Linked DNA regions of Cricetulus griseus. The protein of the gene in region 2 interacts with the protein of the main gene of each other region in a pairwise test. Links are inferred from orthologs where the notes say so. Each region holds a gene or a part of one and is shown on either strand. Other genes may lie near its edges.

Region 1 (3,264 bases), on a different chromosome or scaffold from region 2:
GGAACGCAGAGCCCTTCCACCTGTGCACAGAAATATGCCCAGAGCGACAACTGCGGATGGGGCTTCTGGTACAGGCTCCGCTTGCTCCTGTGTATGGATGTCTTCGTTTCGAACTCCCGGAACTTGTAATTACTCCTATGAAGGCAGTTACAGCTCTGTCAGGATGGAGCCAGCAAGAATCGGCCAGGAAATCCTCTGTTCTTTTAAAGACAGGGACACCTCCTCCCCCAGCTGCTAGGGAGGAGGGAGCTGTGATGTCAGATTTCGGGTAATTCCTGATCACCCACCACTCTGTTCGAAGAGATTTAGGAAGGCGAGGAGAAGTCCAGCTGGCCCTGGGATGCTCTGACTCTGGGGTTCTCAAGGGCAAGACCCTCCCCCAACCACCCTAGGAATGTCTTCTAGGCAGTGTGTGACACTAGGACCCACAATGTTTCTGCGAAGGCCCTGTCCATACCCTAGCGTCCCCATCCCGGTTTCCCTCCAAGACTGAGAACACAGGACCAGTTATTTCCATCTTCAACCATTTATTGGGGGCTACAAAAAAAGACCCGAGGGAGGGTTCAGTGAAGGGGAGGAGAGGGGTCGTAGCCCGTCTTGGGGGTCGTGGCGGTGGGGCTTAGCGGTACTTCTCAGTCAGGATGGAAGACAGGATAGTCATGAACTTGTCCCAGGCTTCGTGGACTTCAGCTGTGAAGTCGGCGGGGAAGCGTGCGGCCAGGGTGACCAGCAGACAGTGGGACAGGAGCTGCAGAGGCGAGAAGGGAGGAGATTCAGTGCACAGTGCCGCGGAGACCCCACTCGATTTCCTCCTTTGTGTCCTTCCCTGATGATCTCCCCTTCCATTCTCACAAACCCACCTTGAAGTTGACAGGGTCCACACGCAGGATGTAGGCATGCAGCTCACTCAGCTTGGTCAGAGCACACGAGAGGTTGTCGATGTTCTTAACGGCCTCGCCGACAGCAGCCAAGATCTTGGAGCCATGGGCGCGCAATTGCTGCGACCCGTGGTGCAGGTCGAAGTGCGGGAAGTAGGTCTTTGTCTGTGGGTAGCTGCAGAAGAGCCTGGGGGTCGGGAGAAAGCGTTAGTTTTTTTTTTTTTTGTGGGGGTGGGTGTGTGGGTGGGTGGGTGTGGGTGTTTCATTAGGTGGTGGGCTAGGACCCTGGCTCTTGCCTTGGGCTCAAAACTTAAGGGGTACACAAAGACCTACCAGACAGAAAAAGAAAACAAAACAATATTTTACACAGTGTTTAAAGAAATAAAGCTAGGGGCTGGAGAGATGGTTCAGTGATTAAGAGCACTGACTGCCCTTGAAGGGAACTTACAACCTCCTGTAACTAGGGTGCAAGGGATCTGATGCCTCTAGCTTTCGTTGGCACCTGTGCGCTCTCTCTCTCTCTCTCTCTCTCTCTCTCTCTCTCTCTCTCTCTCTCTCTCTCTCTCTCTCGCTCTCTCTCGCTCTCTCTTGCTCTCTCGCTCTCTCAATCTTAAAAAACAAAACCCAAGATTGATGTTACTATTTCCTATTGCACCAGGCTCCATATGGCAAGGCATTGCATCCACTGGTGAGTTCATCCATTCATTCCTATTCATTCAACAAAGACTTGTGGAGCCATGTGGAGGACTTTGATGAGGGCTGTGAATGTCCATCCACCTACTCTAGCTTCTCATCAGCCCGCCTGGATCCCCTCCTTACAAGCATTGCTCTCACGGCCAGTCCCTCTTCATCACCGTGTTTTCCTCACTGCCCGTCCTTACCACCCCCTCCTCATGGCCCTTTCTCAGTGGCTTCTCCCCACTAACTCCTCCTTGTCACCCCCTTCTTACTGATCCCTGGCTTCCGACTGGAGTGACTGTGCCTGGACTTACCTCTCCAGAGTCTCGGTGCCGATGGCCTCGGTCTGGGAAGCCATCTTGTCCCACATGGACATGACGATGGCTCTCTCACTCTTCATCAGAGACATGGTGGTGGTGGTGGTGAGGACTGCAGGCTGTGCTGGAGCTGAAAGCACTCAGGGTTGGCCTGATGGTGCTGTCTCCAGTGTCCCCTTATATACACAAAGTCAGGGGCCCTGCCAGGCTGCGGCCACTGGTTGGGAGAGAGGAGGGGGCTTGTAGGGTGGGGCCTGTTATCAGACACAGTGACCCACAACGGGAAACAGGACCCAGTGGGATTTCGAGGTCAATTGCTATCACTCTTGCCCACTCCCCTTCGGCTAAGGGTGGTGTTGGTCATAGTCCTGCACAGAGACCAGGAGAGATAGGGGCCCAGCCATGTCAGGAGGCCATTCCTGTGTCCAGATCTGCACTGTCCTTCATTTCAGAATCACAAATTGTTTGTGCCACCCTGTCCCCTAGTTCCTGCGACTCTTGGTTTTCCTCCAAGGAAGTAGTAGTCCCTATCACTCAGCACGGAGGCAAGAGTATGGAAAACTGCTCCCACCAGGAGGTGACAGATTAACAAAAGAAAATCATCCATTTGCACCATAGCCCTCCATAGCAACCAGTGTCTGGAGAAACACAAATGATTCTTTTAGTTTATCTTAACATGTAGTGAAGTTGATTTGCTCATTGTCTTCTGAAATGACACACATACAGATTTATGTAACCAAGTTACAATCAGGATAAAGAATAGCCCTGCCATCCCAGAAACCCCCACAGCCACCCATTTGCTGTCTCATCTTCCTCTTGCTCCCAACCTAAGCCATGCTAATCCATGTTTCTCAAAAATGTGTATAACTGGAATCATACAGCACTCTGTCCTTTAAGACTGGCTTCTTTCTTCTGCAGTATCAGCAGTTGGCTACTCTTTATTTTATGGTATGAATACTGCAGCAGTTTACCCTTTCATTCACTGAAGGACTTTTGGGCTGTTTCTTGTGTAAGGTTATTACAAATAAAGATGCTTTGAATATTCATAGGGAAGGCTATGCATGAACACAGGTTTCTATGTCTCTATCTCCGTGTCTGTAGACACAGCTATAGCTAGGAGTAAAATTGCTGGCGTATGCAAAATGCATATTTTAACCTTATAAGGAATGCCAAACTGTCTTCGTGAGTGTCTTTACTATGAGTATCATTGCCAGAGTTCTTGAATCTTGGCTGTTTTGACAGGTAAATAGTGGTATAATAACATTGTGGCTGAGAATCATGTTCCTCCGATGGCCAGTGATGTGGAAGATCTCTCCATCTGGCTACTTGCCACCCATATGTTATCTTTGGTAGCCTCATTGTCCAAGTACTTAGTCCACTTTTGAACTGAG
Region 2 (3,653 bases):
GTGTATATAATTTACACTACTTATTTATAATGACTTAAGATTTTTCTACATACGCCTATTTAAAAAATGTTTTTAAACTGGGGATTTACACAAATCCCATTCAGGCCACAATATGAATAATAAATGTGTGTTTATTTGAACTTCTTGATGGTGAGAGTCCTTCAGACAATAGACTTATTTATTTCTGAAGAGGGTTTATGTTAGACAAAATATCCCTCAGGCATTAAGAAGAAAAAGCCTGCAAAAAGCACTTTAGTAAATTATAACTTTTGGGATAAAATATGACAATAATGATTGCTAAAGTAGAAACCAAAGTATAAAACTGCATATACTGTACATAATGCATTTTCAACTTTTCTATTATTTAGTTTGTGTCACTGGAAAAGCTACTTGTGGAAAATTAATTTGGATCTTAGAAGACATGAACTCCTTTGTTCATGCATAATTTGATATATTGTTTTGAACATGAGCTATGTATGCTGAGAACATTTACCAATAGTGATGTGTGATTACATCTTGCTATGTGACTATTCTTACTACTTTCAGCATTCTGTGGGTAAGCAGCTACACATCTCAAATAGTGAGTCAAAGTTTGCCAAATTTATATGCTAACATGTGGAAGGGGGGATTATTAGCACTGGTTATCATGAAACAGACTAGGCATGCACCACAGGCATGGCACCACAGGAGTGTAACTCACCTGGGCAGCACACTAGAGCTGACCCTGTTGTTGGGCCACAGGTTAGTTAAGCCTGAGAGTGTTAGAGTAGGAGAGCTGATCCCACCCCCCTCCCTCCATTTACCAGCTACAGTAATCAGGAGAGAAGGCCCTTCACTTCACCTGGGCAAAATAGTAGAGCTGTTGCTGGTGGTGTGAGTTCAGCCAAGCAGGATCTGACAACCTGCAGCAGGAGACTGGCCCCTCCACTTGCTGTAGGCTGCATTGGTAAGCTAGCTGAGGCAGTACTGGAGGGCTAGCCTGGGTAGTGATGAGGGAAAGTTTGCACCAGGGACAGATGGGGATGGGAGGTGGGGGGGGGAGGGATGTAGGTTTTTTGTTTTTTCTTTTAAGTTTTGTTTTGTTTTAGTGGGGAGGTCCATAGGCAGAGGGAAGATGCCAGGGGAGAGGGAGATCAGTGCAATCAGGATGAATGATCTGAAATCCACAAAAAATCAATAAAAGATAGATAAAATAAAAAAATCAAAAATTTTAAAATCATGAAAAGAAACCCATAATTAAGTGATTTGCTCCATCCCAGAAGAAACATAAAGCTTTAACTTCTCTGGTATTAACAATATGGCATTTATTTGAAACTTTTCTGCATTTCATAGTGTTTGCATGGAAATCTAAAGCTGGCTTGCCTGTTTATCATTTATCTTTTTATTTTTGTAACATGGGAGAAGAGCTCACTCTTTCTGCCCATTTGGGTCTTGGACACTGGCTTCTCTTGCTTTAGCTCCAGTGTAGCAGGCTTACAGTCATGTGTCACCTCAGCAACTTAGATTATCTTATTTTCTATAAGCTATACAAACACTCACAAAATTAAGGACTCTCCATTTGCTGGAGTTGCTCAGACTACTCTGTGTCCATATAGCAATATGCCAGCTTCAGGTCACACAGTGTGCTCCTGTAAGTTACATTTGTACTTCTATTGAAGGGATCTTTAGTAAATTAAGACATAATGCCTGATTTTAAAAGCCAACTTGCTACACTGAAGAATCACCTGGGAAGGTAGTCTTGCCTGAGGAATTATCTTACATAGGCCTGTGGGCGTATCCACAAGGGACTGTCTTGGTTGTCAGTTGACTCAGCCCACTGTAGGTGGCACCTAGTCTAGGTCCTGAACTGTATGAGTGAATAAAGGTAGCTAAGCCAGCAAACAGGCTGCATGGATGCAGTTTTCTTAGTTCTGCTCTTGGTGTGTGTGTGTGTGTGTGTGTGTGTGTGTGTGTGTATGTGTAGAACAAAACAGAAGGGCTAGATTTTCAGGTGAATGGAATCTGAACAATATGTGTTCTGAGGACCCAAGTTCTGTCCTCTATCAGAGCAGCAAATATCATTAAGTACCATATACTATATAGCAAGTACTAAAAGAACCTTGCCCTTCAAGAACATAGTAATGTGTGTGCAAGGATTAACAGCAATTAGGGATCTGAACATCAAAAGGTTAACATTTCACCCAGCCTATTGAAATTTGTTGTGGATGATTTAAACTCTGAAGAATTATTTGAAAATTGTCAACTGGCTTGCAACAAATTATCATTTCTCCAACAGTTTCCTCCTACTTTTGGAAAATTTACTTAGATTGTGGCCCTGTCATAATCTCAGGAAATGTTAAATCAATGCAAAATGAGTGGATCCGTATTTCTAAAAATAACCTTTTTACAGGAAGAAGAGCTGAGGAAGAGCGGGGAGGCCAAGTATGCACACCTGAGTGATGAGCTGCATGTATTAATTGAAGTGTTTGCTCCACCTGGCGAGGCTTATTCACGGATGAGTCATGCCTTGGAAGAGATTAAAAAATTCCTGGTTCCTGTAAGTGATTTTTGAATTTACAAACTGTTTCTTATCCATTCCTAGTTTTAAATTGTGTCTTTGATCTCTAGTAACTTTTTGGAAGGGAGTTCACACTGCACATTAATTTTCTATGCATAGATTTGATACAAATCTTAAATAAATTGGGCACACAGGACACTTATTACAAGACCTGGCATGTTGGCACTTTCTTCTCATCTGACATGAGTATTCATCACCAACCTGTGTATTGTATACATCAATCCACAGCCAGAAACACTAATAAGAGAAACGTATGCTCAAAAGTACATGATTTTATGTCACCTTTCCCTTTTATAAGCCGTTGACATGTATTTTGATAATTTATAATTCGTAGGAAAATGTAGAATAAAAAGATGGATGAGATTGAATATGTATTATTTATAGTAAGATAATGATAGTATTTTAAAGTAACAAATGCCTTTTGTGTGGTAGCCTGTCAGGTAGTACAAGGTATATTAACAGAGGCATATAAATGTTAACTTAGACAGTTAGAAATTTAAACTCACCATGCAATGTGAGAATAATAGAGGATGGAAAATTCAGATGCAAACTGAGTTGCATTCTCTACTGATTTCCCAAGAGACAGGGGAACATAAATGCATAGATTCTTAAGGTTAACAATTGAACATTCTAGAAACAAGGGCTTCAGTATAAGTCTTACCCAGGGGCTTGAGATATTATGAGATATTGAGAGAATGCTGAGTAAAGTTCCCTGGAAGAGCTTAGAAAGATCCTCAGTCCAGAACATAGATAGCTGAGGTTAATTTACAAATGAAGAAACTGGAAATTTGTGTACTCAGTAAAAGCCTCAGAGAAGGTGGCCGGCAGATAAGATCCATGGACTAGTAGTGGTATAGAAAATTGGAAAGGACAAATAGCATAGATTCCCTTAAGTGTACAAGCATTAAGTTCTAGCCACATTTTCTAGTTACATGTCCAATCCCAATATTAATCTTTGTCAAGGCACAATTATCGAATAACGTCACACTAAGTTGAGTATCTGTTAATTGCATGTGCATAGCTACTATTTGAGTCTCATCTGGAAACCTTCCTAAATAGATCTCATTCTGAAGACTGATGATGCTCATTCTTTCTT
Region 3 (3,679 bases), on a different chromosome or scaffold from region 2:
AAGAACACATGGAGCTTTCTAAAAGGTCTTTTAACAAAACTACCTTGGGAGCTCAATTCAAAAATAGAACTCGAAGTACTAAAACAGATGTTTCAGCGCAGCTCCAAAAATCTTTATAAATACAGCAATTTGGAAGGACGATCCTGGATCAGAAGTATTATTCCTTGTGTATCTGAGAATAGTAAGAAGGGGTAAAATTTTGATGTCAAGAAGAAACAGACTGATAACATGATCACCTCCCAGAGTTGATAAAGATGCTGCACACCACCTCTTTACTTCTACCATGCCCCATAGAACTTGACTTTAGGACACCCCAACCCTGCAACTAGCTTTGGCATGCACCTAATAGCAAGACCAACCAAATGGTACTGACAGGGTAAGATACCAAGGCAGCAGAGATAAAGGGTGGTGTGGCTGGAAAAAAAGCAAAAGGGCTAGGACAGGAGGGTTTGAGGAAACAAGTTTGACTCCACTCAACGCCATATTTAGGTCTCACCTACATTATGTGTGCATGCCCCATCTCAGTTGTCATAATTGTCTCTGTAATTTCCTCCTGAGTAGCGGTCATAACCACCCTGGCTTCTGGGAAAAAGTGGAATAATTTTACAGGAATGTATTCTACACAGCAGACAGTAACATTAAAAACTATACATGCCAATTTCATAATAGTGCATTCACAATATAAATAACTTTTTGTGGTGATGGATAGTAAGCCCAGGGCCCCTCACATGTTGGGCAAAATATCTTTGATATATCCAAGCCACATAATACAAAACTGAATATTAGGCTCCTGAATTATCAAGAACACCAGTACCAGAGGTATCCCAGTCTCTCAGTACCCACCTGCCACTATAGTCTCTGGACCGCCCATATCCATATCCATATCCTCCAGGTCGACTGTCATATCTTCCGCTTCCATAGCCCTGGTCTCCACCACCTTTATTTCAAAATAGCAGTTGAACGTTCAGACATAGGCTTCTAACAAATGACTATCTCATCTCATAATCAAATCACCATTGCACTTACCTCTAGAGTAGCTTCGACCACGCCCATGGGCCCCAAAGGCACCCCCTCTGCTTCCCCGGGCAGACTTGCCTGCATGGTCCACACGGATCTGGCGCCCATCCAGGGACTAGGTGTGGGAAGGAGACAGACACAAGGGAGTGCTGTCAGTCAGTCAGAGTGGTGACTGAATAAGAATGGGCACAGGCAGATGGACAAGAGCCCAGAAATTCCTGCTGGGCACCAAATTCTGGGTGCCATGTTCCAGAGCAAGCTCCTCTGACCAGAATGGCTTCACCAGGAGTTACAGATTCATTCCCACAAACGACCTGAATCCACCGTGCTCCCCTGCTACTACTTACATCTTGACTGAATTCAGGCTGAGTTCTCCTCCCCACTCCTCTAAGCTGCCCGACTATTAGGGCTAGACACCTCTCTCGGTTTGAGGCTTCAGAGTCCGTCCCAGAAGACTCACGAGGTCCTCTCCGGGCCAGGCCCACAGGTCTGCAGACTCTACTACCTAAGCCCAGAGCAGGTCAACCATCCACAGGTGGCTTCTCGGCCTCATGCAGGACCAGTCGTCGCCTCCCAGGCAGCCCGGCTCTGTCTGCCGCTGCCCTCCACCCCCTAGAACAGAAGGCAGTCATGCTCCTGTGAGTGGACACTGCGGGGCTTTGTGGCCACGCTGCCCCTGGCAGACATAGAGGGAAAACAAAGAACGAAGAAAGTGGCAGACAGGGAGAAGGCTCCTCTGCAGGCAGGAGGCCTCACCTCTCCATTCATGGCTCTCATGGCATCTGAGGCATGCTCTGGGTTGGTGAAGGTGATGAAGCCAAAACCCCGGGATCTTTGAGTCTCCCGGTCCTTGACAACAACCACTGGGAGGGACAGAAATGTAAATGTTAGTACCCTAACATTTAAGTGCAAAGGAGAACGGACCCCCCCCCAATCCTGCATCCCATTGCATTTTTCTCAGCCTAACCGTATCTTAAGAAACACGTGAAGTTAAGGAGAATTTCAAGTTATAAGTCCCAGACTAAACTAGCTGTTCTCTACCAACCCTCAACCCGTGGGCTGGTCCATGGCTCACCCTCAGAGATAGGCCCAAAGCTGCTGAAGTGGTCTTCAAGTGCCTGCTCATCGGTGTTGAAGTTGAGCCCTCCCACGAAGAGCTTCCCTTCTTCAGAAGACATGGCAAAATGCAAATCCTATAGGGCAAATATGCGGAAATTGGGGAAAATAGTTAATGTGGAAGTGGTGAGATGTCTAACACCTGAAGACTGAGAATTACAGGGATCACAAAAGGGGGGGTTAAGAGAAATAAATCAAACGGCAAGAGACTCAGGAGCAGAAAAGGCGGGAACCAGCAAGCCAGAGAGAGCTTGTCCGCCATTTGCCGACCGCTACGGCGCATGCCCACAACATCCCATACCACCACACCCGTCATTTTGTATGGTCGCGCAGGCCTACAAACAGCCTTGCATTTCCTCTTTCCCTGCAGAACAAGATGGCGGCGGTCACGTGGGAAGAGAGAGCCGGTATAGGTTGTCGCGTGGTCATTCCCGCCACGGACCCAGCCCGTCCCTTCCGGCATTTCTCCCGTTCGGATGCAGCACGCCAGCCTCCCAAATGGGAGATTTTCCTTCGAGCCTGGGACTCGCCCTCTACGGAGAAGCTCAAGCCTACGTGTCAGCTGCCGCTACCCTCCCTACTCTCGTCACCCGTCCCTGGCGGGCAAGGAAGTGAGGCGAGGTACGACCGCTGCGCAAGCCAAACGCTGCTTACCTGGACAAACCTGCTTAGAAGCAAAAGGGCTGGAGACACCGCGAGCTCTAAGGAACCGGGAGAAGAGAGAGGCTGCCGCGCGGGAAGACGCCTGATAAAGCGTGCGTAGCAGATACGTCACAGAACGTACCCCAGCGCGCCCCGACGTGCGTGCTCATTGGTTAAGGGCAGCGGGGGCGGGTAGAGAGAGAGGAAGGCGGAGGAAACAATTCGCCTTGCCGCTTCCGGGAATAGAGAGGAACTTTAGAGTTCAGTGCATCTTAATATAAGCATCTCTGTGCTAGCATAGAGATTGCCCCCTCCCTTTTCCATCTACAAATGGTTTGATTCATATAGCGTTTTCCTCCCTGACGTCATTTTCACCGCATTTGACGTCATTTCTCCCCTTTGACAGCAAGTCCCTAACTGACAGTAGACCAGTGCCAACCAACTACCATCCTCAGCAATCAATCAATCTTATTTACTTCTAATCCTTTAACCTCATATCCCTTAAGGCCCCAATGTTTTATCCCTCCATGTCTCTAAAGTCATCACCTTCATAGTTCTTGATGTCATGCCCTACATTTTTGAGTGCTGAAACCCCTACCCCTTATTCATCTCTGCCCAACACCTAGTATTGTTATGGGACCCTTTACCTTGGTGTCATCCTCAACTCGCATCCTTATCTGACAGTCTCTTTAAGCCTCATATGCTTTCAACAGAACAGGTATCCTATCGTCAAAGGGTGCAAATCCAACCCACAGGATGAATATTGCTCCCTAATACCTCTTGATCAAAAGGGTTGAGTTTTGCAATACATAGTGGAAATCCAAAGCAAGTAGTGTCTGAGTCCACTGCCTGACAATTTGGTCTTTCCCAGTATTTTCTGACTAAGAATAACTTGTTTGCCTTT

What was found.
Region 1: the proteins of Khdrbs2 (region 2) and Hbz interact in binary tests that used the Homo sapiens proteins (3 or more experiments, as listed by UniProt). The two-hybrid records come from large-scale screens. The link is inferred for Cricetulus griseus from reciprocal best matches to the Homo sapiens genes KHDRBS2 and HBZ.
Region 3: the proteins of Khdrbs2 (region 2) and Rbm3 interact in binary tests that used the Homo sapiens proteins (3 or more experiments, as listed by UniProt). The link is inferred for Cricetulus griseus from reciprocal best matches to the Homo sapiens genes KHDRBS2 and RBM3.

The regions. Positions count from the first base shown.
Region 1 is NC_048600.1:45,948,028-45,951,291, forward strand, and holds Hbz (hemoglobin subunit zeta), read right to left. Parts: upstream 1,966-3,264; coding exon 1,871-1,965; intron 1,066-1,870; coding exon 861-1,065; intron 749-860; coding exon 620-748; downstream 1-619. UniProt on the Homo sapiens protein: The zeta chain is an alpha-type chain of mammalian embryonic hemoglobin.
Region 2 is NW_023276807.1:15,381,054-15,384,706, reverse strand, and holds part of Khdrbs2 (KH domain-containing, RNA-binding, signal transduction-associated protein 2), read left to right. Parts: intron 1-2,389; coding exon 2,390-2,536; intron 2,537-3,653. UniProt on the Homo sapiens protein: RNA-binding protein that plays a role in the regulation of alternative splicing and influences mRNA splice site selection and exon inclusion. Binds both poly(A) and poly(U) homopolymers. Phosphorylation by PTK6 inhibits its RNA-binding ability.
Region 3 is NC_048604.1:114,619,200-114,622,878, forward strand, and holds Rbm3 (RNA-binding protein 3), read right to left. Parts: upstream 2,196-3,679; coding exon 2,093-2,195; intron 1,881-2,092; coding exon 1,774-1,880; intron 1,133-1,773; coding exon 1,027-1,132; intron 938-1,026; coding exon 844-937; intron 583-843; coding exon 522-582; downstream 1-521. UniProt on the Homo sapiens protein: Cold-inducible mRNA binding protein that enhances global protein synthesis at both physiological and mild hypothermic temperatures. Reduces the relative abundance of microRNAs, when overexpressed.